Macaca mulatta: one gene and its partners. The protein of the gene in region 1 binds, or shares a complex with, the protein of each later gene. Links are inferred from orthologs where the notes say so. Each region holds a gene or a part of one and is shown in the gene's direction. Other genes may lie near its edges. The genes, in order: GRK1, RCVRN and RHO.

Region 1 (10,102 bases):
ATTGGTAAATTAAATCCAACGAAGTATGAAAAGCAAACGCCATGACCAAGTGGGATGTATTCCAGGAATACAAGGCTAGTTCAGGATTCAAAACCCAATCAGTGTGATCCACCACATTACCAAGCTGAAGAAAAACCACACAATCATATCAATCAGTGTAGACAAAGCATTTGATGAAATTCAGCTTCCATGTGACAAAAGCTCTCAGCAAACCAAGAGTAGAAGGAAGCCTGTTCAACTTGATTAAAAGCACTGACAAAAAACCCACAGCTAACAGTATGCCCAATGGTGAAAGATGAAACGTTTTTTTACCCCAAGACCGAGAACAAGGCTCCCTCATTTTTATCCAACATTGTACTGGGAGTTCTAGCTAGAGCAATGAACAAGAAGAGGACATAAAAAGCATGAATGTCAGAAAGGAAGAAATAAAACTGTCCTTATTTGCAGATAACATGAATGCTTATGTAGAAAATCGCAAAGAATCCATAACAAAACTCCTACAGCTCATAAGTGAGTTTAGCAAGGTCTCAGGATATGAGATGAGGGCGAAGAAATCCACTGTACGTCTATATAGTAGCAATAGGCATATGGATACCAAAATTAAAAACACAATACCATTTATGATTGCTCAACACCAAGAGGAATATTTAGGTGCTAATCTAACACGACATGTACAGGACTTGCATGCTGAAACCCATGTAATAGTGATGAAAGAAATAGAGTTTGAATAAATGGAGACACACACCATGTTTACAGTGTGGAAGACTCAACATAACAAAGAGATCAGTCTCCCCAGATTGATATATGGGTGCAACATAATTCCTATCAAAATCCAGGCACAATGTTTTTGGTAGATACATACAAGATTATTCTAAAATTTATATACAAAAGCAAAGGAACTAGAATAAGTAAATATTTTCTTGCATATTTTGAACATAGCATTTTTTTAAACATTTTTTGAAAAATTTTTTGAAAAACAAGAATAAGATGGGAAGACTCAGTCTACTGAATTTCAAAGCTTATTATGTAGCTATGGTACTCAGGATTGTAGGGTATGGTCAGAGGGAGACACATAGATCAATGGAACAGAAGAGAAAATCCAGAGGTAGACCCACACAATATGTGCAACTGATTTCTGACAAAGGTGCAAAAGGAATTCAATGAAGCAAAAATAGCCTTTTCAACAAACAGTGCTGGAGCTACTGGATATCCATTGGCCAAAGTGGGAGGAAAAAGACCCTCAACCTCTTAAACCTTCTACAAAAATTAACCCAAAGTAGATATGAACATAAATGTAAATTGTAAAACTATAAAACTTTTAGGAAAAATATGGGAGAAAATCTTCAAGATCTGGGGCTGGACAACACCAAAAGCACAATCCATAATATTTATATTCAACAAAATTGAAAACTTCTGCTCTGTGAAAGCCCATATAGAAAGGAGGCAAAGACAAGCTGTCAGTGGGAGAGGATATTCAAAAACCGTGTGTCTGACAAAGGACTAGTATCTGATATTGATAGAATCTCAAGACTCAGGAAAGCAAACAATCCAGTTGTTACATGGTCAAAAGATGTGAAGAGACATGTCACCCAAAAGCACACACAGGTGGCAATCCACACATGGAAAGGTGTTCGACCACCATTAGGGAAATGTAAGTTACAACCGTAAGGGAATACCCCACACCTACCAGGAGAGCCAAGATAAAAGACCGTGGCAGCGCTAAACTCTGGGGAGGATCCTGAGGAAGGAGCTGCTCCCCCATGGCTGGTGGGAATGTAAAATGGCATGGCCACTCCAGAAAACAGCTTGCCAGTTTCTTCGAAACTAAACGTGCAATTACTGTGTGCCCCAGCAACCAGCAACGACACTTTTGGGCATTGACCCCAGAGAAATAGAAACATATTCACACAAAGGCCTACACAGATGTTTGTAGCAGCTTTATAGCTAAACACAGGAGATGACCCAGGGGTCCTTCAACCGGTGAACGGCGAAACAGACCGTGACACCCTCTGTGGAGCACAACTCAGAGACGAGCAGGAGGGCATGGCTGACACCTGGAGAACGGTGCAGAGTGAGAAACGCAGATCCTGAAAAGCTACGTAGTGTCTGACTCCATTCATATAACGTTCTTGGAGAAGTCGTGGTTGCCGGGCGTTGAGGAGGGCGGGCTGGAGGAACGTGGGTGCATCTGCGAGTGGCACAGGAGGGTCCCGTGGATGGAGGCGGCCTTTGTCTCAACTGTATGGATGTCAATATATTCGCTACTTGGCAAGAGTCATCATTACAGGAGACGGAGTTAAGGATACACAGGATCTCTCTGGATTGTTTCTTAACACTGCATGTAAATCCACAACTATCACAGAATAAAGAGTTTAAAAAGGGATTTCCAGGGCCAAATGAATTTGGGGAACGACATACTTTACTTCTCTTTGAGAACCATGTTCACCCTGAAATCACTGAATAAGCTCTGTGATGGGCATGTTTAACATATTTTTAACTTTGTTTATTTAACATATTTAACTTTATTTCACCGAACGCTTCCCAACATGAGTGCAGGTGGAACAGCCCCCAGTCCAACAGGAAGCCGTCCTCCTCAGACCCCGCATCTCTGCAGCATCAGCACCACCTGTGAGCTTGTTACAGGTGCACAGTCTTGGACCGCCCAGCCACTAAAGCAGAATCTTTATTCCAGCAAGGTCTCCGGGCGATTCGTGTGTGTAGCTGTTTGAGGCATGGCCTAGGATAGGCCGGGAGACATCAGCAGAGACGGCTTCACTTCACAAAGCACCATAGTTGCCCCACTGAGTGAGCAGGCAGGAAGGAGTTAATGTGATTGGCCCAAGGTCACCGCTGTGAAGGGCAGGGCTGGGCCCGTGCAGGGCTCCTGGCGGACGATGGGATATCACTCACCTCAAATATTTACTCGTGATCCACCTGCCAAAGCCCTCGGGAGGCCGTGGGGACATCAGCTCAGTCCGCAGGCCCTCTCTTCAGCCTCCTTGGTCGCTACAGAGGACCCTGCCAGGTGCAGCCCCAGCACCCTCCCACAGGTGCCTCTTCTCCCACGTGGAACGGGGTGGGCTGACATTCTCAACCTCTCCACACTCTGGCATTCTTCCTTTCTGTGACCGTTTGCTTCCTCCCTGTGTGAGCTGGAACCAATCCCCTGCTAACTTCCTCCTCGTTCTTCTCTAAACATTTATTGAGTACCTACTGTGTGCTGGAATAAGGCAGGGCCATGCCCTCATGAAGCTGACACTCCTATTTGCGTAACCATCCCCAGGTGTGTCCCAGGTGTGTCTGAAGTGTGCCCAAGCTGTCTCAGGTGTGCCCCAGCTGCATCCCAGGTGTGCCCCAGTTGCATCCCAGGTGTGCCCCAGTTGCATTCCATGTGTGCCCCAGGTGTGCACTAGCTGTCCCAGTTGTGTCTCAGGTGTGCCACAGTTGTATACCAGGTGTGCCCCAGCTGTCTCAGGTGTGCCCCAGCTGCATCCCAGGTGTGCCCCAGCTGCATCCCAGGTGTGCCCCAGGTGTGCACCAGCTGTCCCAGGTGTGTCTCAGGTATGCCACAGTTGTATCCCAGGTGTGCCTCAACTGTCTCAGGTGTGCCTCAGCTGTCTTAGGTGTGTCTTAGGTGCATCCCAGGTGCATCCCAGGTGTGCCCCAACTATCTCCAGTGTGTCTCAGCTGTGCCCCAGGTGTGTCCTAGGTGTGCCTCAGCTGTCTCAGGTGTGCCCCAGGCATATCCCAGGTGTGCCCCAGCTGTCCCAGGTGTGTCCTACGTGTGCACCAGCTGTATCCCAGGTGGATCTCAGGTGTGCCCCAGGTGTGTCTCAGATGGGTCCCAAGTGTTCCTCAGCTGCATTTCAGGTGTCTCAGGTGTGCCCCAGGTACAGCCCAGGTGTATCCTAGGTATGCCCCAGCTGTCTCAGGTGTGCCCCAGGCATATCCCAGGTGTGCCTCAGCAGTCCCAGGTGTATCCTACATGTGCACCAGCTGTATCTCAGGTGTGCCCCAGATGTGTCCCGGGTGTGTCTCAGGTGGATTCTGGGTGTGTCCCAGGTGTGTCCCAGCTGTCCCAGGTGTGTCTCAGATGTGCCCCAGGTGTGCCACAGCTGTGTTCCAGGTGTGTCTCAAGTGGATTCCGGGTGTGCACCAGGTGTTCCCAGGTGTGTCTCAGCTGTTCCAGGTATGTCCCAGATGTGCCCCAGGTGTGCCACGGCTGTGTCCCACATGTGTCTCAGGTGGATTCTGGGTGTTCCTTAGGTGTGTCTCAGGTGTGCCCCAGGTGTGCCCCAGGTGTGTCCCAGATGTGCCCCAGCTGTACCCCAGCTGTCCCAGGTGTGTCCTAGGTATGTCCCAGGTGTGCCCCAGGTGTGCCACAGCTGTGCCCCAGGTGTGTCTCAGGTGTGCCCCAGCTGTATTCCACATACGGCCCTCTGAGTGGAGCCTTGGTTTGGTGTAGCTCCGAGGATCTTCTGCTCCCTGGTCCTGGTGTCACCAGCAACTGTCTCTTGACAGTCCTGCCTTGCTTGCAAACCCCAGGTGAGAAGAAGAAAAATAATTGGGAACTGACCCCTCAGTAAGCACTGGTGGTCTCACCTACAGACCCCCAGGAAGCTGGTCATTGTGGGCTTTTTTCCTCTAAATTCCTATTATCAGGTGGTTTTCTTCTCACTTGCTATTTTCTTAAAAATAAAAATGAAATATAGTAGGGAAAAACAGCCTTTGTAAATTATGGTTTCTCCTGGCACCACCCTCTCCTGTCGGGCCCACATCCCAAGGAAAGAGCAGGCTTGAGCCTGGCTGCTGAGGCCAGGGGGTGGACGAGGCGGTTCAGAACAGAGCTCTGAGTGCCTCTCCAGCCGGGGGCCCCAGAAGCCTGGGAGTTATTTGTCCGTCTCGGGAAAAGCGAGGCGGCCCCTTGGAGGAAAGGGCCGGGCAGAATGAGCTAATCGGATTCCAAGCAGCTCAGGGGATTGTCTTTTTCTAGCACCTTCTCGCCACTCCTAAGCGTCCTCCGTGACCCCAGCTGAGATTTAGCCTGGTGCTGTGTCAGCCCTGGGCTCCCAGGGGCTTCCCAGTGGTCCCTAGGCACCCTCAACACGGCCAGGGCATCTCCCTCGTCCAGCGAGGGCAGGGACGGGCCACAGGCCAAGGGCAGCGGTCGGGCCTGCTCTGCTGTGAGCACCGCCGGCTTGGCCTCGGCCGATGGGCCCTCACTCCTGAAGCGGGCAGGAAGCCAGCTCCGGGATGGATTTCGGGTCCTTGGAGACCGTGGTGGCCAACTCTGCCTTCATCGCCGCCCGAGGCAGCTTTGACGGCAGCAGCTCCCAACCCTCCCGGGACAAGAAGTACCTGGCCAAGCTCAAGCTGCCCCCGCTGTCCAAGTGTGAGTACCTCCGTGACAGCCTCAGCCTGGAATTTGAGAGCGTGTGCTTGGAGCAGCCCATCGGCAAGAAGCTCTTTCAGCAGTTCCTGCAATCAGCAGAGCAGCACGTGCCAGCCCTGGAGCTCTGGAAAGACATCGAGGACTATGACACAGCAGACAACGACCTCCAGCCACAGAAGGCCCAGACCATCCTGGCCCAGTACCTGGACCCCCAGGCCAAACTCTTCTGCAGCTTCCTGGATGAGGGGATGGTGGTGAAGTTTAAGGAGGGGCCCGTGGAGAGCCAGGACGGGCTCTTCCAGCCCCTGCTGCAGGCCACCCTGGCACACCTGGGCCAAGCCCCCTTCCAGGAGTACCTGGGCAGCCTGTACTTCCTGAGGTTCCTGCAGTGGAAGTGGCTGGAAGCCCAGCCCATGGGGGAGGACTGGTTCCTGGACTTCAGGGTGCTGGGGAAAGGGGGTTTTGGGGAGGTGTCGGCCTGCCAGATGAAGGCGACCGGCAAGCTGTATGCCTGCAAGAAGCTGAACAAGAAGCGACTGAAGAAGAGGAAGGGCTACCAGGTGAGCAGCGCGGCCCAGCCAACAGGGATGGGGCAGCAGGGTGCAGAGGGCCCCCAAGTCGCTGTCGGGCTCCGTGGCCCTTAACAGCTGGTGCCTCGCCAGCCTTGCCATGTGGGCGCCCTGCGGCCGTGCAGTCACGGGCAGTTCCAGTCCATGTGCAGAAGTCCCTCCTCGGAGAGGGACCTCCACATTTTTGGGTGGGGACATCCCTCCTCGGAGAGGGACCTCCACATTTTTGGGTGGGGACATCCCTCCTCGGAGAGGGACCTCCACATTTTTGGGTGGGGACGTGCCACCTTTGCTCGTCAGCTTTTCACCAACCACAGACTAGCCTCAAGTGTGGGGGAAAGAGGACCTCTCAGGGGAGGCTGAAGAGGGCAGGGTCTCCGGATTCTTTGCCATGGCCGTGGAAGACTTTCCAGGGACCTGGCTCCTCTGATGGCAGTGAATGCAGGAGGAAGTGAGGCAGGACGGAGGCAGCCTCACTCCGATGACACTTTCTGTGAGGAGAAGCCTGGCGTGACACCGGATGCAGGAACTATTCCCCTGACTGCGCTGTTCTTGGGGGTGGGAGTGAGCGACGGGCACGCAGGCCACGCTGTTTCATCCGCTCTGCCCACTGGCGTCAGACTGTGCATCTGGGGCAGGATCAGCAGAAGCTGCTTACAGGTCTTAAGGGTGAGAGGCAGCGGCTGCACCGGGTGTGGACGTGATCTCCCGAGCCAGCCCCCTGCACTTCGGCTCCACGCAGCTCCTGGCCCCTCTCCCACCGCGCAGCTGTGTTGAGGGCACAGGAAACTCTTAGGGTTAAGCAGCAGCCGCTGTGCACCCTGGCTCTGCAGGGCCTCAACCCTTAGTGAAGGTGAAATACCAGGTGGTCATGGCGCTGGGCAGAGGCCCTGGAATATCCGTGTGTTCTTGCCGTGGAACTCGGGGTGGGTAACTATGCCACGTGGTTGTAGCAGTAATTTTTTTTTTTTTTTTTGAGACGGAGTCTCGCTCTGTCACCCAGGCTGGAGTACAGTGGCCGGATCTCAGCTCACTGCAAGCTCCGCCTCCCGGGTTTACGCCATTCTCCTGCCTCAGCCTCCCGAGTAGCTGGGACTACAGGCGCCCGCCACCTCGCCCGGCTAGTTTTTTGTATTTTTAGTAGAGACGGGGTTTCACCGTGTTAGCCCGGATGGTCTTGAACTCCTGACCTCGTGATCCGCCCGTCTCGGCCTCCGAAAGTGCTGGGATTACAGGCTTGAGCCACCGCGCCCGGCCTGTAGCAGTAATTTTTTAAAATTAGCTTTCTTGACATCTAATTCCCACACCATGCCATTCACATCTAACTGTAAATTTAACCCAACAGTCAGCCTCTTCTCCTGACTTCCATCACCTAACTGAACTCCATACTGACATCAACTGAACACCTCCCCCAGTGTGAATGCACAGAAAGGGGCCTCCGACGTCAGGAATTCCCTCTTCAAAGAGGGGTGTGCTGTCCTTATCCAGACACTTACAAACTCATTCAGTGGAGCATTGTGAGGTTTTAAAATAAAGACAAAACGAAGCAGAGTGGTGAGGTGGTTTGGGAGGTGCTGGTCTGTGATCCCAGCCCACAGGGGCCTAGACAGCAGGGAGGGCTGTGGCTGCAGGATTGCTGGGCAGGCAGGGCTGGCGGGGTCCTCACCCATGTTGCTCAGCCGTGGGGCTTGAGCCTCCCCTTGCCAGAGGCTGGCCCGGAAGACCAGAAGTCCCCTGTGTGAAGGAATTCACACGTCTGGTTTTCTGAAATGGGGGTACAGACATGTTTTGAAGTCATTTGCAATTGCTCCGTGAAAGGCGCATTTAAAGCGTGTTTGCGACTAGTGGCTGTGTGTGCAGTGGGCGTGGCCGTGTGCACACGGTCTCTACAATGCACTGGTCCCTTTCCTATTCAAAGCCATCACATACTCATCGTCTCACTTTTCAGGGTGCTATGGTGGAGAAGAAGATTCTGATGAAAGTGCACAGCAGGTTCATTGTGTCTCTGGCCTATGCGTTTGAAACCAAAGCTGACCTCTGTCTGGTGATGACCATCATGAACGGAGGCGACATCAGGTAAGGGCTGGTCCAGAGGGCGCCAGGGGACCCTGCTGTCCCACTGGGTCAGGGTTTCCGGCGGCGGGGGGCCCGATGGGGCTGCTTCCTGTGTGTAGAGCCATGGTGGCCCGAGGCCTGCCCTCGAGGGAAAGCCTTGCACCCATCACCGTCCCCTTCTCGCTGTCGGTAGGCGCCGGTTCCTGAAACAATACACCCTGGACCCACATTGGTGCAGGAGCCTGGGAGGCGCCCAACCTGACAGCCAGGGCACCTCCTTGTGTGTGGCCCTGGTGTGGGTGTGGGGGGCACGTGGTGCTGTGGGGGACGCATGATGCAGTGCAGGGGCCTCTGCAGGGCTGAGGGCCTTGCACCAGGAGAGTAAATGAAGATGAACTTCACCAGCGCCCGCCCATTCCTGGGGCTGACGCTGGAGCTGGAGACAAGATCAGGCCAGCTGGGGCCATGGCCTTGCTGCTTTCTGGCAGAGAGGAGGTGGTGCTGCCTCCACAAAGTCCTGGCCCCGGATCCATCACCGAGGCAGGCGCCAGGCCCGTGTGGGAGATCAGATCACAGGCTCGCTTGGTACCTGGGCCGCTTAGCCATTGCTTGGTTCTGTTTCCTGGTCTATAAAATGGGAAGAGATAATATCTAAGTTGAAAGATTGTTTGGCCAGGCGCGGTGGCTCAAGCCTGTAATCCCAGCACTTTGGGAGGCCAAGACAGGTGGATCACAAGGTCAGGAGATCGAGACCATCCTAGCTAATGCGGTGAAACCCCGTCTCTACTAAAAAAATACAAAAAAACTAGCTGGGCGAGGTGGCGGGCGCCTGTAGTCCCAGCTACTCGGGAGGCTGAGGCAGGAGAATGGCGTGAACCCGGGAGGTGGAGCTTACAGTGAGCCGAGATCCCGCCACTGAATTCCAGCCTGGGCAACAGAGCAAGACTCCGTCTCAAAAAAAAAAGAAAGATTGTTGGAAGATTAACAGTGTCTGATACCCCTAAGGTTGGGGATGGGCAGGGGCCATGGCTGTGGTTGGCAGCACCATGCCCCATTCTCACCTGCTTTTAATTTCCAAGGAAACTCCTTCAGGTGAGGCTGGTGGCCCATTTTTCAGATGAGGAATGTGAGTCCAGACTAAGTCACCATGCCAGGTGCCCAGGCGGAGGGGAGGGGGCGCCGGGAAGCACACACACGGGGGTGCCCAGGCAGAGGGGAGGGGGCGCTGGGAAGCTTAGTCACAGGGGTGCCCAGGGAGGGCCTGGTGGCTCCGGCCGCCTCATGATCCACCTGGCTCCAGGGCCTCCTCTCCTGTTTCCTGCGACTATACTCCTGGTGCCACCTAGTTTAAATAGTTTATTTTATTTGTTAGGTTTTGCTTCTTGCAAAACCTGTCCACGGAAAACATAAGAAATGATGTTTTATGGGGGAGGAAAGAGGCTGAGAAGAAACACCTTGCTGCAAATCCTTCACGAGTCTGATGAACTCGGGGCCTGCGGAGCTCCATCCCGCCTCGGCCTGGCCTCTTCCTGAGACGGTCTGGGCTGTTTTCCAGCACCTGCAGCCCACGCCAGGAAGCATGGGGACAGGAGACACACGTGGACGGCACTTTCTCCCCGTTAGCCGTTGGGGTTCGGGGTCCCTGAGCTGCTAACGCCGCCAGCCACCATGGCCTCGGGGTCTCCTCTGCAGGGACGCTGGGGGGCCAGGCCTCAAAACGACCAGAACGCTGGCTGGTTCTGAGGTCCCCACTCTGTCTTTCCATGATTTTACTCCCCATTAAACCCGGGGCACATGGCTCCTGCGTGTCTGCCCCCAGGTACCACATCTACAACGTGAATGAGGAGAATCCCGGCTTCCCGGAGCCGCGTGCCGTCTTCTACACGGCGCAGATCATCTGCGGCCTGGAGCACCTGCACCAGCGGCGGATCGTCTACCGCGACCTCAAGCCTGAGAACGTGCTGCTGGACAACGACGGTAGGCGGCGCCCGCGGCGGTGAGGGATGGGGGCTCCGAGGACGGCGGGGCGCAGCTTCCCTGGAGGTCTCTGCACAACCTCACGAGGGTTGACAGCTGCGTGGACAGC
Region 2 (9,991 bases), on another chromosome or scaffold:
ACCCTAGAAGGTCACCGGAGGAGAATGTTCCAAGCAGAAGAGATGCTCATGTATCTGAGGCCCGCCTGGCTGGAGTGGAGGGAGTGAGGAGGGAAGAGCAGATGAGGAATGTGGAGGGCTGCCATATTCTTCGAATGACCGTCTCGGTGTTCCCCCTAGGCTCTTGGGATTGGTGATGATTTTACCTCTGATGACTTAGCAGAGAGACAAAGGGCACCCGCCCCTTTTCGTCCCTTCTTGGGGGTACCAAAGGGCACCTGCAAGACATGGTGGGATGAGGGCCAGTGCTGCCTGTTGCAGGCTTTTGGCTTTGACGGGGAGAAGTGGGCAGCCATCGTGCATGACCTGATTTCATGGCTGTGGGGCTCACTGCAGGGCTGTAAGGGGACAAGAGCAGAAGCAGGAAGAGCTATTAGGAGGCAGAGGTGACGCTGCCTGCATGAGGCAGGTGCAAGGGAGGCAAGAAGAATGGTCTGGTTCTGGCTGTACCTTGAAGGTGGCAGAGTCAAGATAATTTCTTGATAGATTGGAGAGGGTTGTGACTGAAAGAGAAACACTGAGAATGACTCCAGGAACCTCAATCCAAGTCATCAAAAGGATGGATTGTCATTTTCTGCAATGGGGACAGCTGTGGGAGGAGGGTCCTTCCCCATTCTCTGTCTCCCCCGCCACCACCTCCATACCCCCTTTTCCCTCTCGATGCAGACTTCTCTGCAGGTGCTGGCTCCAGGCCAGAGGGCAGGAGGGTCGTCTTGGCCTTCAGCTCATAAAAGGCAAGGTCGAGCAATGGGGAAAGGGTGGGGTCTGGGTCCCAGCTAACAGCCGAGATAGAGCTCCTGCTTGAGGGGACAGGGCCGGCTTCTGGGAAGCATCTTTCAGTGCAGCGAAGAGAGCGAGATGCAACCTGGGATCCTCTGCCTGGAGATGAAGCCTTCTCTAGAGAAGACTTTGGGGTTTGGGAGAGCTTATGGCCCCAGATCAGACTTAACAAATCGTCTCACAATACATCATGTCCAACAGCTTGTTTGGCTAAGGAGCATAAGCTCTCCCTCTGATAGAAGATGTTTATGCAGGTTTTCAAACAAACCTCCAGGTCATGACCCCTTGCTCTGAGCATCAACACAGCTGCTTGCGATCCCCTGAGGCCCCTCCTGGGCACAGCAACCTGGAGAATGTGGACTGTACCAGGCTGCTTCCGACCTGGGTCCAGCTCCTTCCTCCTTGTGCCTGGAGAGGACAGCAAAGACTGGAGGGCTCTGGCTGCCTTCTGCCTCGCCCAGGGCCTCTTTCATTGCCATGGCAACCCCACATCCTCACCTACTTGTCCTCTAGGCTCAGGCCTCCTGTAATGTAGACAAAGGAAGCCTAAACGAAGAGCCTGGCAGATCTGGACTTTCCTTCCTCCTGACATTGCCATTTAGCAACCATGTGACCCCAGGCTGGCGACGTGCCTTTGGGAGGCCCCACGTCTCACCTGTAACACTGGCCTCGCCTCATCTGCTGCAGGCTTGATGTGGACAGGGGTGTGATCCAGGAGGCACTTCTAGTCGCCTCCTACTAGTGGCTCAGAGCAAGGGGCCAAGGCTTCTGACCTCACTCTCCCTCCATGCCCAGGGTTGCCTCAGGGCTGCAAGAAAGCACTGGATGAGAATGCGATTCCAAGGTGTGGCTTGGGCTTGCTTGGTTCGTTCATTTGTTTGAAGGCTGGTGACTCCTGTTTCTAACTGCTCTTGAGAATAAATGCATACTACAGGATGGTGAAAGCCTAGATACTCCTATTCAGAAGTAATATTATCACTGGGCGCAGTGGCTCACGCCTGTAATCCCAGCACTTTGGGAGGCCGAGGCAGGCAGATCATGAGGTCAGGAGATCGAGACCAGCCTGACCGACATGGTGAAATCCCATCTCTGCTAAAAATACAAAAATGAGCCAGGCATGGTGGTGAGTGCCTGTAATCCCAGCTACTCAGGAGACTGAGGCAGGAGAATTGCTTGAACCTGCGAGGTGGAGGTTGCAGTGAGCCGAAATTGTGCCGCTGCACTCCAGCCTGGGCAACAGAACGAGGCTCTGTCTCAAAAAACAAAACAAAACAAAACAAAAAGCAAAAAACCAAAAACCTCACAGAGTGATGGAAAAAAATGTGAAAGTTCACACACACACCCCAGCATGCAGGTTTCCTGAGATGTCTCGGAAACTGTCGTGTGCACAGTGGCTGGAAGAGATGAGTCTGCCCTCGGTGCCCGAACCTCTCGCTCCTTCCAGAGTGATATCAGGTGGGCCTGGCAGGTGGCTTTCTCCCAGCAGCAGGGACCTACCTTCCGCTGCCACTAGCCTGTTAGTAAGTAGGCTAAAATCCCTACTTTACACTTTGAGATGCAAGGCAGGCGGATCACCTGAGGTCAGGAGTTTGCGAGACCAGCCTGACCAATATGGTGAAACCTCAATCCTACTAAAAATACAAAAAAAAAAAAAAATTAGCTGGGCCTAGTGACAGACACCTGTAGTCCCAGATTCTCAGGCGACTGAGACAGGAGAATTGCTTGAAACCAAGAGGCGGAGGTTGCAGTAAGCCAAGATTGCGCAACTGTACTCCAGCCTGGGCAACAGAGAGAGACTGTCTAAAAAAAACAAAAACCACTTTACCTGCCTAGAGACTGTGGGGTTTATTCTTCATACTTCGTACCCCAGGGCAAAAAAAGAACTCTCTATCCACGGTGGCAAGGCTGGGGTTCTGAGTGTGTCCCCTCGAGCACTGCGCGCCGCTAAGGAAAGTGCATGCCCACCCTCCCTTCCCTCTGGGTGACAAGAATCCAGGTGTGCAGCGTCCTCACTAGGGTGCTTCCTCATGCTTGATACTCCCCGCTGCGCTGCAGGGACGCGAAGCCCGCCTTGGCACAGCTCCCTGTCTCTGATCACTCAGTTATTTACCCATTCACTCAGCAAACACGTTTTCTTGCCTGCTTACTCCAAGTCCGCTGCAGATGGACACCCTGCAGCCTGCCATGGAGCCGCAGATAGATTTTGTTTGGCCCACATCATGTTTTATGATTTTGTTTTTGTTTTTGTTGTTGTGTTGTTCTTTTGTTTTTTTGAGACGGAGTCTTGCACTGTCGCCCAGGCTGGAGTGCAAGAGTGCGATCTCGGCTCACTGCAACCTCTGCCTCCCAGGTTCAAGCAATTTTCCTGCCTCAGCCTCCCAAGTAGCTGGGATCACAGGCACCCGCCACCACGCCCCACTAATTTTTTGTATTTTTAGTAGAGACAGGGTTTCACCATGTTGGCCAGGCTGGTCTCAAACTCCTGACCTACTGATCCACCCCGCTCGGTCTCCCAAAGTGCTGGGAATACAGGCGTGAGCCATCGCGCCCAGCCATGTTTTTTAAATTGCAAATTAATTGCCACAGTTGAAAAGTGTGGAAATTGCATCGAAAATTCTGATTTCTGGATTTCTCTTGACTAATTAAAAAAAAAAACTCACGTTCCCATGTGACCACGTTTGCTGGCAGCCCCTTCCCTAGGTGACACAGGCCTGGCTGCCCCCTGTTGGTCCCTGCAGGCAGTTCACCTTCACTCCCTGTGACTGATGGGCAATAACAAAATGAGTGTTTAGCATTAGCCAGCCGTGTGCCAGGTTCTAAGTGTGTCACCCATATTGACTCACATCAGCCTCACAATGACAGTGTGGTAGATGCTATGATGCCCATTTATTCAAGAAAGGCTTAATGGGGGCCCAAGCCTATCAGGTTCTGGAAATGGAAATGCATCTGGGAACAACACAGACAAAATCCTGTCCTTCCTAGAGCTTTCATTCCAGTGAGGGGACATGGGGCGTGCTGAAGACGGTGGGGGGTGTGCTATTATAGATAGAGGGTCAGTATAGGCCTGGCTGAGCAGGTGACATTTAAGCGGAGACGTGACTGCAGTGAAGGGTTAGAAGAGTGTCCCAGGTGGAAAGAGGTGAAGAAACACGCCTGGGGCCACACAGCTAGTTAAGTAGCCAAGCTGGGACTTGAACCCATGCTGGCCCCAGAGCCTGTGCTCCTAACCACTGCATTCTAGGGCTTGATGTGAGATGCCAGCCCTGCCCTGAGATGCTCAGAGTTAGTGAGGAAGAGAAATAGGGAACGTGGCTGCCGTTAGAGGGCTGGGGCTGGGGGTGCAGGAGGCCCCAGCTCTGAAGGTTCCAACTTCCTGTCCTGTTCTAGTCTCCTCCCAGGAGGCCGAGATGAATTGCCTGCCTGCCCTGGGCTCTTTATTTTAATCTCCGTAGGGTTCTGGGAGCATCCCCCCACCACCTCTACAAAGCTCCTGGGCCCCTCCTCCCTTCAAGGATTGCGAAGAACCGGTCGCAAATCCTCCTAAGCCACCAGTCTCTCCATCTTCAGCTCACACCAGCCCTGAGCGCCAGCCTGCGGCCAGGGGACCACGCACGTCCCACCCACCCAGCGACTCCGCAGCCGCTGCCCACTCTTCCTCACCCATGGGGAACAGCAAAAGTGGGGCCCTGTCCAAGGAGATCCTGGAGGAGCTGCAGCTGAACACCAAGTTCTCAGAGGAGGAGCTGTCCTCCTGGTACCAGTCCTTCCTGAAGGACTGCCCCAGCGGCCGCATCACCCAGCAGCAGTTCCAGAGCATCTACGCCAAGTTCTTCCCCGACACCGACCCCAAGGCCTACGCCCAGCATGTGTTCCGCAGTTTCGATTCCAACCTCGACGGCACCCTGGACTTCAAGGAGTACGTCATCGCCCTGCACATGACCACCGCGGGCAAGACCAACCAGAAGCTGGAGTGGGCCTTCTCCCTCTACGACGTGGACGGTAACGGGACCATCAGCAAGAATGAAGTGCTGGAGATCGTCATGGTCAGTCTCCCCTCTCCCCTTCTGGCTGGGCGGCGCCGGGGTCACTTGGGGCTGGGGGCCCCTTGCTGCAGAGTGAGTGGAGCTGTGGGTGGAGCGGGGGATTCAGGCCACTGGCTCTGAGAGCCTGGTGCTCCAAGAGGCTGATATTGATAGACAGGTGGGCACTTACCCACAGCTTCGTTGTCTTCCTGAAGCAGAATCTGAATGTTTCTTAATACATCCATGTTATGCTTTGCTTCACGATGTTTGGGTCATGTATGGACCATATATACCACTGTGGTCCCATAAGCTTGTAATGGAGCTGAAAAATTCCTATTGCCTAGTGATGTCATAGCACAGTTACTTTATTTTTTAAATGCATTTAGTGTAGTCTAAGTGTATCTATAAAGTCTGCAGTAGTGTACGGTAATGTCCTAGTTCTTCACATTCACTCGTTACTCGCTCACTGACTCACCCAGAGCAACTCCCAATCCTGCAAGCTCCACTCATGGTAAGTGCCCTAGACAGCTCTACCATTTTGTATCTTTGTGTTTTGTTGTTGTTGTTGTTGTTGTTTGAGATAGTCTCACTCCGTGACCCAGAGCTGGAGTGCAATGGCGCAATCTTGGCTCACTGCAACCTCTGCCTCCCGGGTTCAAGCAATTCTCCTGCCTCAGCCTCCCAAGTAGCTGGGATTACAGGCGCACACCACCACGCCCGGCTAATTTTTGTATTTTTAGTAGAGATGGGGTTTCACCATGTTGGTCAGGCTGGTCTCGAACTCCTGACCTCAGGCAATCCACCCACCTCAGCCTCCCAAAGTGCTGGGATTTACAGGCATGAGCCACAGTGCCTGGCCCATTTTTTATCTTTATACTGTATTTTTACCACATGTTTAGGTATGTTTAGATGTGCAGATACTTACCATCATATGACAACTGCCTGCGGCACTCAGGACAGTCACATGCTGCACAGGTTTGTAGCATAGGAGCAAAAGGCTGGACCATGGAGCCCAGGGATGTAGTAGGCTGTACCATCTGGGTTTGTGCGAGGACTGTCTATGACGTTCCCACATGGAAATTGCCTAAAGATGTGTTTCTTGGAATGTATTCCTGTCTCTGAGCGACACATGACTATATTTACATTTTTTTCTTTCTCTCCATCCTTTGTTTCTTCCTTCCTTTATTAAAATACCCTTTGAAATTTTCGGCAGTACACATTCAACTTGAATCGCTATTCATTCTAAACACACTATGCTTCAAATATAAAGTAGAAAGAGGTCAAAGTTGGGGACATGAACTCTGAGTTCTAGTTCTCATGTTCTCCCCAGCTTGGGGCAGATCGCCTGTACCACCCTTGAGCCTGCACTTGCCATGCACGGCGTGGCTCCCCAGCTCCTGACAGGTTCCCTGTGAGGCATACACGCTTCCACATGGTTCCCAACACACCTTCTCCCCCGTCCATACTGTCCTCGTGTCAGATCCTTTGTTGTGAAAGTAATGGCAAAAACCACAATTACTTTTCCACCAACCTCTAGGTGTCTTGAAAATGTTTCATCTAATGTATAAGTAACTCATGAAATTTAGAAGCCTAGGCAAACGAGATTAAAAATTGCCTCATCCAAGGAAAACTTTTCTTAGTATATCGGTATATACCTTTTCAGTGTTTTACGTATATAATTTTTAAACAATGTTAAAGCTATGACATACTCACATACGATTTTTATCATACATTTTTCAGTTACTCTTTTATCATGAGTGCTTTCCATATCATTACATATTCTTCCAAAACAGTTTTTTGTTGTTGTTCAGACAGTTTCACTCTTGTCGCCCAGGCTGGAGGGCAGTGGCGTGATCTCAGCTCACTGCCACTTCTACCTCCCAGGTTTGAGCAGTTCTCCTGCCTCACCCTCGCAAGTAGCTGGGATTACAGGCACCCGCCACCACGCCCGGCTAATTTTCGTATTTTAGTAGAGACAGGGTTTCGCCATGCTGGCCAGGCTGGTCTCAAACTCCTGACCTCAGGTGATCTGCCCACCTCGGCCTCCCAAAGTGCTGGGATTACAGGAGTGAACTTCTGCACCCAATCTCTTCCAGAACACTTTTAATAGCTGCTTGGAATTCTGGCTTATGGAAATGTGGAAATTATTGAACATTCCTATGTTTTTGGACATTAGGTTGTTTCCATTTCTCTCCTATTATACCAGTTCTAATTTCCTTCATTTGATTTTTTTTTTTTTTTACTTATTCTTTTTCAATCCCCCTGCCCCCTGCCACTTGCTTTATTATTCTAATTCCATTCCTGTTAGTAGAGACTGTTGTTCAGATGTTATGCATTTGTAATCATGCCTTCATTTGCATGATTACAAATGCACAAAAATTTTCCACCCTTATTAGCAGAAACCATAAATAAAACAGCAAAGCGTGCAGCTTGTGGTCCATGGGCTTATCCTCAGTGCTCAGCTCAGGCCTCCCGTTCCGGCAGGCGTGTGTCTCCCTCATTGTTATCTTGGCACAGCCTGCAGAGAAAGCTCCCTCGAATTGGCTGTGGGGTCTCTTGCCTGGGACAGGGACTAAGTCTTCAGAGCCACATAAACAATGTGGGGCCCAGCAGAAGCCTACAAATGGATACTCCTGGAAGAAAAGTAGGAGGAAAGGGAGGAGGGGGAAATGAGGGAGGGAGAGAGAGAAGGTGGAAGTCAGGAAGGAAGGAGGGGGAAGCAAGGGGCAGGAAAGGAGGAGAGAAAGGAAGAAAGAAGAAAGGAAAGGGAGGAAGGGAGAGGCCATCAATGGCTGGGGCTGTACAAGGTGGCAGAAGGCTCTACGGTTCACCAGATTACAAGTTCATGGGCAGAGCACTGACTGGGGGAGTCACAAGTGAAGCGTTCTAGTCCCAGCTCTGACTCCAACTAGCGGTGTTGCTGTGGGAAAACCATTTTACCTTCCTGGGCCCAGGGTGAGGATTTGATTATTTTTGCAGCCTCTCCCGAGGCCCTGAAGGTCTGTCCCTCTGTGTTGGAAGTGGGGTGGGCAGGCAGTCACTCCCAGCTTCTGGCTGGCACACCTGTACATGGTACCCAAGGCCCTGCACAGATGGATAGGAGTGTAGGAACCACCTACACTTGCGTCCAGCTCAGAGCTCTGAGTGCTGCCAGTGAGGCCGCTGCCCTGGGCTGCTGGCTTTGGTCTCCTTGCTCCTTTTTCCAGCACTAGGAGGCTGAAGGGGAACTTCTCAAAGCTATCGACCTTCCCTCCAGGATAATTTCACAGCCATTATTGCCCCTGCCTGCCCTGCTCACAAGTGTCTCCAGGGAGGCAGAAGGCTCTGGCCAGAGCCAGTAACCTCCCAACTGCCACCCAACATACCTGCCTGCCCTCAGCATCCAAGGACCTACAACCTTGGGTGTCCCTTCAGGACCCAGCTGGCGCTGGTGTTCCTGAGCCAGTGGAATCCTAGAAACTTGAAGCTGGAAGGGTGCATGGAGCCCCCTTGTCCCTTTCCCTGATCTCACAGGTCTGGGGGCACTTCATGCTTTCCCTACATTGCATAACCAACTGCTTTATTAGAGGGGAGGGAGGTGAGAAGGATGGGATCCTTGAGCCCAAAGCTAAGCCTTTCGCTGAATCCATCCTTGAGCAGAAGGTTAAATGAGGGTCTTGCTGTACCATGGGAAGACCTCTGAAAAGTTCTTGCTGATGCCTCTCCCTCCCCCCCAGCCTTGCCCAACGCTCTCCAAGACCTTCCAGTGATAAGGAGGTGAGTGGCCTATAGCGTAACACAAGGATACCAATTCTAGAATCAAAATGCCTGGATTCAAATCTCCACTCTTCTCCTTCTAGCTGGGTGACTTCCAGCAAGTTAGTTGTCTCAGTTTTTTCATCCATAAAATGGGGCCAATCATACCTTCTTCATACGGTTATTGTGAAGACTAGGTGTAAAAAATGTTTAGAAAAGTGACACCTAGGCCAGGCAGTAATCCCAGCACTTTGTGGGGCCAAGGTGAAAGGATTGCTTGAGCTCAGGAGTTTGAGACCAGTCTGGGCAACATAGTGAGACCCTGTCTCTACAAAAAATTCAAAGGAACTTGCTGAGCATGGTGGTGCGCACCATAGTCCCAGCTACTCAGGAGGCCGAAGTGGGAGGATTGCTTGAGCCCAGCATGTCGAGGCTGCAGTGAGCCATGATTGCACCACTGCACTCTAGCCTGGGTGACAGAGCAAGACCCCGTCTGGAAAAAGAAAAAAAGAAAAAAAAAGAAGAAAAGAGAGTGACACCTATTAAGTACTCAACAAATGTTAGCCGTTATTGCCATAAGTCAGTCTTACTGAGCAACTGAGGTACAGTATAAATCCAGAGGAAGAGGTTTACTCTTCTAAAACCTGTAGGCAGTAGGGTCTGAGGTAGTGATTCCCAAACTCCAACCTCAGGACTGCCGTCATATTTGCATCAGGAAGCTTTTTCTTTCTTATTTTCATTTTTTTAAATAAGTGAAGTTAATATGTTTACATAGTTAGAAAATCACAGTACAGAAAGGTACAAAATAAGAAGCGAAAGGCTTCTTTGTCTCTTCCCTGAATTCCCTGTCCCTTATGAGGGCCTCAAAAATACAGATGCCCAGGTCCTACGCCCAGGAATTTTGATTCAGTAGATCAGGTGGGGGCCTGTACATCTGTATTATAACTGCTGTCTGCTCCCACGGGCTGGTCAGGCACTGAGAGAGGGACATTGTGATGGAGGTGACCCAAAGTCCCTGATGTGTCTTCCATAATATTTGTACCATTTTACATTCCCAGCAACAGTGGACCAGGGTTCCCTTGTCACCACACCCTTGCCAACGCCTGTTATTTCTTGTCTTTTTTTATTACAGCCATTCTAACAGGCGTGAGGTGATATCTCATTGTGGTATTGATTTATGTTTCCCTGGTGATCAGTGATGGGTTTCTTGATACTTGCTGGCCACTTGTACGTCTTCTTTGGAGAAATGTCTGTTTGGGTCCTTTGCCCATTTTCTTTCTTTCTTTCTTTTTTTTTTTTTTTTTTTAGATAGAGTTTTGCTCTTGTCACCCAGGCTGGAGTGCAATGGCGTGATCTTGGCTCACTGCAACCTCCGCCTCCCAGGTTCAAGCAATTCTCCTGCCTCAGCCTCCCGA
Region 3 (10,001 bases), on another chromosome or scaffold:
TTGTAAGGGGCTGGGGGAACGAACAGGTAAGGGGCTGTGTGACGAGATGAGAGACTGGGAGAATAAACTAGAAAGTCTCTAGCTGTCCAGAAGCTCACTGTCCAGTCCAGACGAAGATCTGAAGTCAGCTCGTACTAAGCCAAGGGAAATGGCACAGACACCCACGGTCCCTATTTCAGACCAAGGCCACCAGACTGAGCTGGGACCTTGGGACAGACAAGCCATGTAGAAGTTAGGGGCCTTCTCCCTTTCCCAGGGTCCTGAGTACCTCTCCTCCCTGACCTCAGGCTTCCTCCTGGTGTCACCTTGGCCCCTCTTGGAAGCCAATTAGGCCCTCAGTTTCTGCAGCGGGATTAATATGATTATGAACACCCCCAATCTCCCAGATGCTGATTCAGCCAGGAGCTTAGGAGGGGGAGGTCACTTTATAAGGGTCTGGGGGGGTGAGAGCCCAGAGTCATCCAGCCAGAGCCCTGAGTGGCTGAGCTCAGGCCTTCGCAGCATTCTTGGGTGGGAGCAGACGCGGGGCAGCCACAAGGGCCACAGCCATGAATGGCACGGAAGGCCCTAACTTCTACGTGCCCTTCTCCAACGCGACGGGCGTGGTGCGCAGCCCCTTCGAGTACCCGCAGTACTACCTGGCCGAGCCATGGCAGTTCTCCATGCTGGCCGCCTACATGTTCCTGCTGATCGTGCTGGGCTTCCCCATCAACTTCCTCACGCTCTACGTCACTGTCCAGCACAAGAAGCTGCGCACACCTCTCAACTACATCCTGCTCAACCTAGCCGTGGCCGACCTCTTCATGGTCTTCGGTGGCTTCACCACCACCCTCTACACCTCTCTGCATGGATACTTCGTCTTCGGGCCCACAGGATGCAATGCGGAGGGCTTCTTTGCCACCCTGGGAGGTATGAGCCGGGTGCGGGTGGGGCTTGCAGGAGCCCGGGAGCATGGAGGGATCTGGGACAGTCCCGGGCTTGGCGGTAGTGGCTGAGAGGCCTTCTCCCTTCTCCTCTCCTGTCAGCGTTACCCAAGGCCCTCATATATTCATCAACAAACACCATTCATGGTGATAGCTGGGCTGCTGTTTGTGCAGGGCTGGCTCTGAACGCTACCTTGATCTTACCTGGAGCAACATGCACTTATCTAATTTCACAGCCAGAAAACTGAGCTGAGGCTCAAAGAAGTCAAGTGCCCTGCTGGGGGTCACAATGGGATGGGGGCAGAGTTGAGTTTGAAGCCTGCATCCATCTTGGGCCGTGTTGGCAACACCAAGCCTCTGTTTCCCTCGGAAAACAGGTCAGACCCAGGCTGGGCACTGAGGAGAGAGCTGGGCAAGCCAGACCCCTCCTCTCTGGGGGCCCAAGCCCAGGGTAGGAAGTGGATTCTCCATTCTCCAGTCATTGAGTCTTCCCTGTGCTGGGTAATGGGCTCGGTCCCCTTTGGCATCCTCTGCCTCCCCTCCCAGCCCCCCGTCCCCGGGTGCCCCTCTAGCCTCCATGCCGCGCTCCAAGGCTCCTGGTGTTGAGAACTGCATGCAGCCCCTCTGAAGCAGCTGCTTTTTGCTTTAGAATAATGTCTTGCATTTAACAGGAAAACAGATGGGGGTGCTGCAGGGATAACAGATCCCACTTAACAGAGGGGAAAACTGAGGCAGGGAGAAGGGAATAGACTTATTTAGGGATGTGGCCAGGCAGCAACAACAGCCTAGGTCTCCTGGCTGTGATCCAGGAATATCTCCGCTGAGATGGAGGAGATGTTAGCGGCAGCCACTGCAAAGCTGGGTGACGAGGAGAGCTTACCACCAGTCACAAGCATCACCCTGCCAGCCTTGCCCTCTCTCCCCCATGTCCAGGTTGCCTCCTCGGTCCCATTCTCAGGGAATCTCTGGCATTGTTGGGTATTTGTTACATCAAATAATCACAGATCACCCAGTTCTGGCCAGAAGGTGGTGTGCCACATACGGATGGTTGTTCTCTGCAGGGTCAGTCCCAGTTTACAATTATTGTCCCTTTCACTGTTAGGAATGTCCCAGTTTGGCTGATTAACTATATGGCCACTCTCCCTGTGGAACTTCATGGGGTGGTGAGCAGGGCAGATGTCTCAATTTCATCATTTCCTTCTTCTTCCTCTGGGCAAAGCATTGCCCATTGCTTCATGGCTCCTAGGAGAGGGCCACACTTGCCCATGTTGTTTCATCTCCCGAGAAGAGAGAGGGATGAAGGACTGCCAATTCTGGGTTTCCGCCACCTCTGCATTCCTGCCCAACAAAGAACTCTGCCCCACATTAGGATGCATTCTTCTGTTAAAAACAAAAAACCCCACAACTCCCTACCGGGTTCTCAGTCCAATCGTGACCCCCTGATCTGATTCGTGTCCCTCATGGACCCAGAGCACTAAGCAAATAACTTCCCCCATTCCCTGGAGCTTCTTTGCCCAGCCCTCCTCAGCATGTGGTCCCTCTGCCCCTTCCCACTCCTCCCAGTGCCAAGCTCTCTTCTTCCCCAAGGCCTCCTCAAGTCCCTCTCCCACTCCTGGTTGCCTTCCTAGCTACCCTCTTCCTATCTAGGGGGAGTGCACCCTCCTTAGACAGGCAGTGGGGTCTGCTGACAGCCTGCTGACTGCCTTGCAGGTGAAATCGCCCTGTGGTCCTTGGTGGTCCTGGCCATCGAACGGTACGTGGTGGTGTGTAAGCCCATGAGCAACTTCCGCTTCGGGGAGAACCATGCCATCATGGGCGTTGCCTTCACCTGGGTCATGGCGCTGGCCTGCGCCGCACCCCCCCTCTTCGGCTGGTCCAGGTAATGGCGTTGAGCAGAAGGGAAGAGGCTCTTTGTAGGGTCCTCCAGTCAGGACTCAAACCCAGTAGTGTCTGGTTCCAGGCACTGGCCTTGTATGTCTCCTGGCCCAAATGCCCACCCAGGGTAGGGGTGTAGGGCAGAAGAAATAGACTCTAATGTTGCTAAAAGCGCTGGTCCCATCTCCTGAGCTCTATGTAAAAGAGAATCCAAGACATCCCAACCCTTCACCTTGGCTGTGCCCCTAATCCTCAACTAAGCCAGGCGCAAATTCCAATCCTCTTTGGTCTAGTACCCTGGGGGCAGCCCCCTCTAACCTTGGGCCTCAGCAGCAGGGGAGGCCACACCTTCCTAGTGCTGGTGGCCATATTGTGGCCCTTGGGAACTGGGTCCCATTCAGCCTCTAGGCGATTGTCTCCAAATGGGGCTGAGATGAGACACAGTGGGGACAGTGGTTTGGACAATAGGACCGGTGACTCTGGTCCCCTGAGGCCTCATGTCCCTCTGTCTCCAGAAAATTCCCACTCTCACTTCCTTTTCCTCCTCAGTCTTGCTAGGGTCCATTTCTTACCCCTTGCTGAATTTGAGTCCCCCCGCTGGACTTTTTCCCCATCTTCTCCAATCTGGTTCCATCCTCCGGAAGCACAGCCTCTGGACGCTCTGGGTTTCCTGAGGCCAGTCAACTGTCACCAATATCAGGAACCACTGCCACATCCTAACAATGTGCCCTGGAAACCTCTTGTTTCCAGAAGCTGCACAAAGATCCCTTAGATACCCTGTGTGTCCATCTTTGACCTGGAAAATACTCTCGCCCTGGGGCTAGGAAAACCTCAGTTTATACAAACTGCCTCAAATACAGAGCCTCCCCTCCTCCTCACCAACCTCTGCCTGGCATAACCCTAGGCTCAGAGGGCAGTGGATGCTGGGGCTGGGCATGCCGGGAGAGGCTGAGTGGTATCATCTGGTACCGCAGCCACCAGTGAAGCGACACTGATTCCACAAGGTGCGTCTGCATCCCCATCTGATCCATATTCCATCCTGTCACCCAGCCATGCAGACGCTTATGATCCCCTTTTCCAGGAAGGGAATGTGAAGCCCCAGAAAGGGCCAGCGCTCGGCAGGCGCCTTGGCCAAGTCCCTCACAGGCGGGTTCTCCCTACCTGCCCGTCCTCAGATACATCCCCGAGGGCTTGCAGTGCTCGTGCGGAATTGACTACTACACGCTCAAGCCAGAGGTCAACAACGAGTCCTTTGTTATCTACATGTTCGTGGTCCACTTCACCATCCCCATGATTGTCATCTTCTTCTGCTACGGGCAGCTCGTCTTCACCGTCAAGGAGGTATGGGCCGGGGAGTGGCCAGCCTCACGGCTCTGACAGTCCAGCCCCCAGCATGTATCTGCGGCTCCTGCTCCCTGGAGGAGCCATGGTCTGGACCCGGGCCCCTTGTCTTGCAGGCCGCTGCCCAGCAGCAGGAGTCGGCCACCACACAGAAGGCAGAGAAGGAGGTCACTCGCATGGTCATCATCATGGTCATCGCTTTCCTGATCTGCTGGGTGCCCTATGCCAGCGTGGCATTCTACATCTTCACCCACCAGGGCTCCAACTTCGGTCCCATCTTCATGACCATCCCAGCGTTCTTTGCCAAGAGCGCCTCCATCTACAACCCTGTCATCTATATCATGATGAACAAGCAGGTGCCTACTGCGGGTGGGAGGGCCCCAGTGTCCCAGACCACAGGCACTGCCTGCCAAGGACAAACTGCGTCCCAGGGCAGGGGAGGGGGCTCCATCAGGGCTACTGGCAGCAGTCTTGGGTCAGCAGTCTCAATGGGGAGTGTGTGAGAAATGCAGATTCCTGGCCCCACCCAGATCTGCTGAATCTCAGGGAGGGCCTAGGAACCTACATTTCCAACAAGCTCTCCACAGGTGGCTCAGATGCTCACTGAGGTGGGAGAAGCTCTAGTCCAGATAGTTCTGGAAGCCCAATGTCAAAGTCAGAAGGTCCCAAGAGGGGAATGGATGGGCCAGTCTCCATAAAGCTGAATAAGGAGCTAAAAAGTCTTATTCTGAGGGGTAAAGGGGTAAAGGGGTAAAGGTTCCTCTCCAAGGAACTCAGAAGTTGGGGTAAACAGTCTCTGAAGTCAGCTCTGCCATTTTCTAACTATGTGACCCCATGCAAGTCAATTCCCCTCTCTGTGCTTTGGTTTCCTCATCCATAGAAAGGGCAAAACACCCAACTCTCAGATTACAGGAGATAATTTACAGAACACCCTTGGCACACAGAGGGCACCATGAAATGTCATGGGCGACACAGCCCCCTCGTGCTGGGTCCCTGGCATCTCTAGGGGTGAGGAGCGTCTGCTTAGCAAGTTTCCTCCAGGAAGCCAGATTTGAGTGGACGGGGCGCTGGAACTGTGAGGGGCAGAAGCAGGGAAAAGGTTGGGGCAAACCTCACTAACGTGCCAGTTCCAAGCACACTGTGGGCAGCCCTGGCCCTGACTCAAGCCTCTTGCCTTCCAGTTCCGGAACTGCATGCTCACCACCATCTGCTGCGGCAAGAACCCGCTGGGTGACGATGAGGCCTCTGCCACCGTGTCCAAGACGGAGACTAGCCAGGTGGCCCCAGCCTAAGACCTGCCTAGGACGCTGTGGCCGACTGTAGGCGTCTCCCGTCCCCCACACCCTCCCCCAGCCACAGCCATCCCACCAGGAGCAGCGCCTGTGCAGAATGAACGAAGTCACATAGGCTCCTTCATTTTTTTTTAAAGAAATAATTAATGAGAGAAAAATGAGGCTCCTCACTCACCCGGGACAGCCTGAGAAGGGACATCCACCAACACCTACTGATCTGGAGTCCCAGGTTCCCCAAGGCCAGTGGGATCTGTGCCCCTCCTCCTCCCAGCTCATCTTTCAGGAACATGAGGATTCTTGCTTTCTGGAAAAGTGTCCCAGCTTAGGGATAAGTGTCTAGCACAGAATGGGGCACACAGTAGGTGCTTAATAAATGCTGGATGGATGCAGGAAGGAATGGAGGAATGAAAGCGAAGGGAGAACATATCTATCCTCTCAGACCCTCTTAGCAGCAGCAACTCATACTTGGCTAATGATAAGGAGCAGTTGTTTTTCCCTCCCTGGGCCTCACTTTCTTCCCCTATAAAATGGAAATCCCAGATTCCTGGTCCTGCCGACACGCAGCTACTGAGAGGACCAAAAGAGGTGTGTGTGTGTGTGTGTGTGTGTGTGTGTGTCTATGTGTGTGTTTCAGCACCTTGTAAATAGCAAGAGCTGTACAGATTCTAGTTCATGTTGTGAATAACATCAATTAATGTAACTAGTTAATTATTATGATTATCACCTCCTGATTGTGAACATTCTGAGACTGGGCATTCGGATGATGGGGTTTCACCCAGCCTCGGGGCAGGTTTTTAAAAATTAGCTAGGCGTCAAGGCCAGACCAGGGCTGGGGCTGGGCTGCAGACAAGGACAGTCACAGGAATGCAGAATGCAGTCATCACACCTGAAAAAACAACATTGGGGGAGTGGGGCGATGAAGGCCAAGTTCTCAGTGAGGGTGAGATTGGGCCTGGGGTATCACCCCTACTGTGAGGCCCCAGACCCCGTGCCTCCCCTTCCCAGTGTGGCTTATGGAGAGACACGCCTTTCTCTCAGCCTCTGGAAGTTACCTGCTCTTTTGCCCTAGCACCTGGGCCCCAGCATCTACAGCATGGAGCCTCTGGAAGATATGCTCACCGGCCCACATTTAATGAACAGCTGAGTCCCTGATGTCATCCTTATCTCAAAGAGCTTAGAAACAAAGAGTGGGAAATTCCACTGGGCCCACCTTCCCTGGGGATGTTCATGGGCCCCCGTTTCCAGTTTCCCTTGCCAGACAAGCCCATCTTCAGCAGCTGCTAGTCGATTCTCCATTCTGGAGAGTCTGCTCCAGAAAGCTGGCCACATCTCTGAGGTGTCAGAATTGAGCTGCCTCAGTAACTGCTCCCGCCTCTCCATATAGGCAAAGCCAGAAGCTCTAGCTTTACCCAGCTCTGCCTGGAGACTAAGGCAAATTGGGCCATTGAAAGCTCAGCTCCTATGTTGGTATTAACGGTGGTGGGTTTTGTTGCTTTCAAACTCTTTATCCACAGGATAGATTGAAACTGCCAGCTTCCACCTGATCCCTGACCCTGGGATGGCTGGATTGAGCAATGGGCAGAGCCAAGCAGCACAGAGTCCCCTGGGGCTAGAGGTGGAGGAAGCAGCCCTGGGAATGAGAAAAACCCCAACTTTGGGGTCATAGAGTCACAGGTGACCCATAAAACTGCAAACAAGTTTTGTCACCTCTCTGAGCTTCCTTATCTGCAAAAGAGAATCTTAAAACTGACCTTGGCTGGGCACAGTGGCTCACACCTGTAATCCCAGCACCTTGGGAGGCCAAGGCGGGCAGATCAGGAGGTCAGGGGTTTGAGACCAGCCTGACCAATATGGTGAAGCCCCATCTCTACTAAAAATACAAAAATTGCTGGGCATGGTGGCAGGCGCCTGTAATCCCAGCTACTTAGGGGGCTGAGGCAGGAGAATCGCTTGAACCCGGGAGGGAGAGGTTGCAGTGAACCGAGATCACGCCACTGCACTCCAGCCTGGGCAACAGAGGGAGAGTCCATCTCCAAACAAAACAAAACAAAACGAAACAAACAAACAACAACAACAAAAAACAAACACCTGATCCTAAGGGGATTAGATGCGATTGTGGACTTTAAGTGGCCAGCCTACTGCCTAGCATGCAGCAGATGAGAGACTTTGGCGATACTGGGCCTCAGTTCAGAGCTGGCCTCACTATAGACCCTGTCCCAAAGGGGAACAGGATGGAGCTGTAGCTCCCGAGAGTCACCCCCTCCTCCAAGGTGAGGAAGGAGGGCAGGAGCATGAGATAGCAGATCCTCGGTGCCTTGGTGGGGCTGGGGCACATTGCGCTGGGATCTCTATCATTGGCCCTCTTTACTCTGACTCACTAGGTAATATCAGTCAGGATACTTTTGGTTGCAAGTGACAGGAAATCCAGCTCATTTAGGCTGAAGCAAAAGGCACACATTGCTGGCTCCACATGACCAAAAAGCCCGGGGCTTCAGGTACAGCATATCACCATGCCTGAGATGGTGATTAATTCTGTGATTGGCCAGGCCTAGGTCACCTGATCATATGTGGCTCATTTATGCCTGAGGTTGCAATTTTTTGGATTTTTGCAATCAGACCTTGGCAATGACCTTGAACAGTAAGATATAAATAACTCACACATGCTTAGCGTTCCAATAATGGAACACTAGGCATACACAGGTCTAACTGCATCACCATGACTGGAATGGGGATTCATCCTCTGATTGGCCAGACCTAGGTCACATGCTCACCCTGCAGCCCAAGCAGGCTGAATGGGGAGAGGTAGGTTTCACAAAGGAAAGCCCAGGTGCTGTTACCTGAAGTAGGAGGGCAGGAGGCTGGGTGAGCAGAGCCTGCATCAACCCAGAGGGAATGGACTCTAAGTTGGTATTTTCTGGGCACATGGCTGGACCAGGCCTCACTGTCTCCTCATCTCAAGGACATGAGGGAGAAGATTCCTATGGGTGGTCCCAAAGGTTTTGGCACCCTTTGTTTTGGATGCTGTGTTGGGCCAGGGTGGCAGTGGGTGGGACAGTGGCATCTTAGCTGTCCTGACTTGCAGGGAGCCCATCCCAGCTCCCCACCCCAACCCCCAGCCCAGTCCACTTTTTCTGAGAAATGGTACATTTGCCCCAACCTCATGTCCAGAGGAAAATTTTACTCTAACACCAGAACATTCTCTCGTTTGTCCTGATAGACAGGAAAGCCTCCACCTCCTTAATTTACAAATGACTTGACAGTTGCTTAGTGGCACTTGCATACATAAAGAGAAGGAGCTGCTGCCCTAAGCTGCAGTAAGTTTGTCCACACTTCATCTCCAGGCAGCCAGCGGGAGGTACAACCTAAGAGGTACAGCCTCTTAGGTACAATGTGACTATCTCTATCATTGTAATGATACCTAAGAGGTACAGCCTCTTAGGTACAATGGCAGCTCCATTCAATCAAACCTGAGCAAGCTGACCCCATGCCAGAATGCACTGGGGACTCAGATGGCCACAGAGCTCTCTCACGCCAAGGGAGACATGCCCCCCTGAAAGCCTGAGGTGCCCCCTAAGGAGACAGTGCATGCCCCCTAAGGAGACAGTGGGTGCCCCTCTCAACTATGTAGCTTCAGGGCAAGTCCTCTTTTCTTTTCTTTCTTTTCTTTCTTTCTTTCTTTTATTTCTTTCTTTCTCTTTCTTCCTTCCTTCCTTTCTTTCTTTTTCTTTCCTTCTTCTTTCCTTCCTTCCTTCTTCCTTCCTCCTTCCTCTTTCTTCTTTCTTTCTCTTTCTTTCTCTCTTTCTCTTTCTTTCTTTCTTTCTTTTTTTTCTTTTTTGAAATGGGGTCTCGCTTTGTCACCCAGACTAGAGTACAGTGGTGCCATCATAGCTCACTGTAGCCTTGACCTCCCAGTCTCAAGCAATCCTCCTGTCTCAGCCTCTCAAGTAACTGGGACCACAGGCACACAACACCACACCCAACTTATTTTTTATTTTTTGTAGAGATGGAGTCTCCCTATGTTGCCCTGGCTGGCCTTGAACTTCCGACCTCAAAGGATCTTCCTGCCTTGGCCTCTCAAAGTGCTGTGACTACAGGCATGAGCCACTGTACTTGGTTTGGGCAAGTCCCTGAATTGCTCCAAGACTCAGGCCCCTCAGCTATACAGGAGAGAATTATCCCACTGGGTAGAATTGTCTACAGGGTCTAATGAGAGTATTTGTATAAAGGGTGCTGTGCACAGTAGACATTCAATAAATGTGAATTCCCTTCCCAGAGACATGAACTAAGTTCAAAGGAGGCAGCCCCTTGTGTGGTAGGAAATGGACATGTAAGGAGATTAACACAGAGAGGGGGGTCTCGCAAAAGCGGGGAAGCAAGTGCTAACTGCCCCGATATTCATTCCCTTTCCTTCTGTTAATAATATCATACTAGGTTCTAGCTGGGCACCTGGTTGCTCAACACAACACAGTATCTTTCAGCTTCTTTTGCACTGTGGTGGCAGGACATTAAGGTCCAGTCACTGTAGGGTACTCAGAAATGATGTGTGTAGTCTCTGGGTTGTGCATTTTGG

The links.
Region 2: the proteins of GRK1 (region 1) and RCVRN are in contact, whole or in part, in an NMR structure (PDB 2I94), measured with the Bos taurus proteins. The link is inferred for Macaca mulatta from reciprocal best matches to the Homo sapiens genes GRK1 and RCVRN. Residues at the interface, in NP_776598.1 of Bos taurus: Phe3, Gly4, Leu6, Glu7, Val9, Val10, Ala11, Asn12, Ser13, Ala14, Phe15, Ile16; in NP_776590.1 of Bos taurus: Lys22, Trp31, Ser34, Phe35, Glu38, Cys39, Phe49, Ile52, Tyr53, Lys55, Phe56, Phe57, Tyr86, Leu90, Thr93, Ser94, Phe188, Glu189.
Region 3: the proteins of GRK1 (region 1) and RHO are in contact, whole or in part, in a cryo-EM structure (PDB 7MT8), measured with the Bos taurus proteins. The link is inferred for Macaca mulatta from reciprocal best matches to the Homo sapiens genes GRK1 and RHO. Residues at the interface, in NP_776598.1 of Bos taurus: Leu6, Glu7, Thr8, Val9, Val10, Ser13, Ala14, Ile16, Ala17, Ala18, Arg19, Gly20, Asp23, Ala24, Glu184, Asp185, Trp186, Phe187, Leu188, Asp189, Phe190, Val192, Arg195, Glu200, Gln205, Met206, Lys207, Lys221, Arg222, Thr256; in NP_001014890.1 of Bos taurus: Lys66, Lys67, Arg69, Thr70, Arg135, Val137, Val138, Val139, Lys141, Ser144, Asn145, Phe146, Arg147, Phe148, Glu150, His152, Leu226, Thr229, Val230, Ala233, Gln236, Gln237, Glu239, Thr243, Ala246, Val250, Met257, Ile305, Tyr306, Met309.

The regions. Positions count from the first base shown.
Region 1 is NC_133422.1:107,885,295-107,895,396, forward strand, and holds the start of GRK1 (rhodopsin kinase GRK1), read left to right. Parts: upstream 1-5,253; coding exon 5,254-5,952; intron 5,953-7,909; coding exon 7,910-8,037; intron 8,038-9,835; coding exon 9,836-9,993; intron 9,994-10,102. UniProt on the Homo sapiens protein: Retina-specific kinase involved in the signal turnoff via phosphorylation of rhodopsin (RHO), the G protein- coupled receptor that initiates the phototransduction cascade.
Region 2 is NC_133421.1:11,411,740-11,421,730, reverse strand, and holds the start of RCVRN (recoverin), read left to right. Parts: upstream 1-4,370; 5' UTR 4,371-4,481; coding exon 4,482-4,862; intron 4,863-9,991. UniProt on the Homo sapiens protein: Acts as a calcium sensor and regulates phototransduction of cone and rod photoreceptor cells. Modulates light sensitivity of cone photoreceptor in dark and dim conditions.
Region 3 is NC_133407.1:154,393,834-154,403,834, reverse strand, and holds RHO (rhodopsin), read left to right. Parts: upstream 1-453; 5' UTR 454-548; coding exon 549-909; intron 910-2,633; coding exon 2,634-2,802; intron 2,803-3,973; coding exon 3,974-4,139; intron 4,140-4,255; coding exon 4,256-4,495; intron 4,496-5,320; coding exon 5,321-5,431; 3' UTR 5,432-7,082; downstream 7,083-10,001. UniProt on the Homo sapiens protein: Photoreceptor required for image-forming vision at low light intensity. Required for photoreceptor cell viability after birth.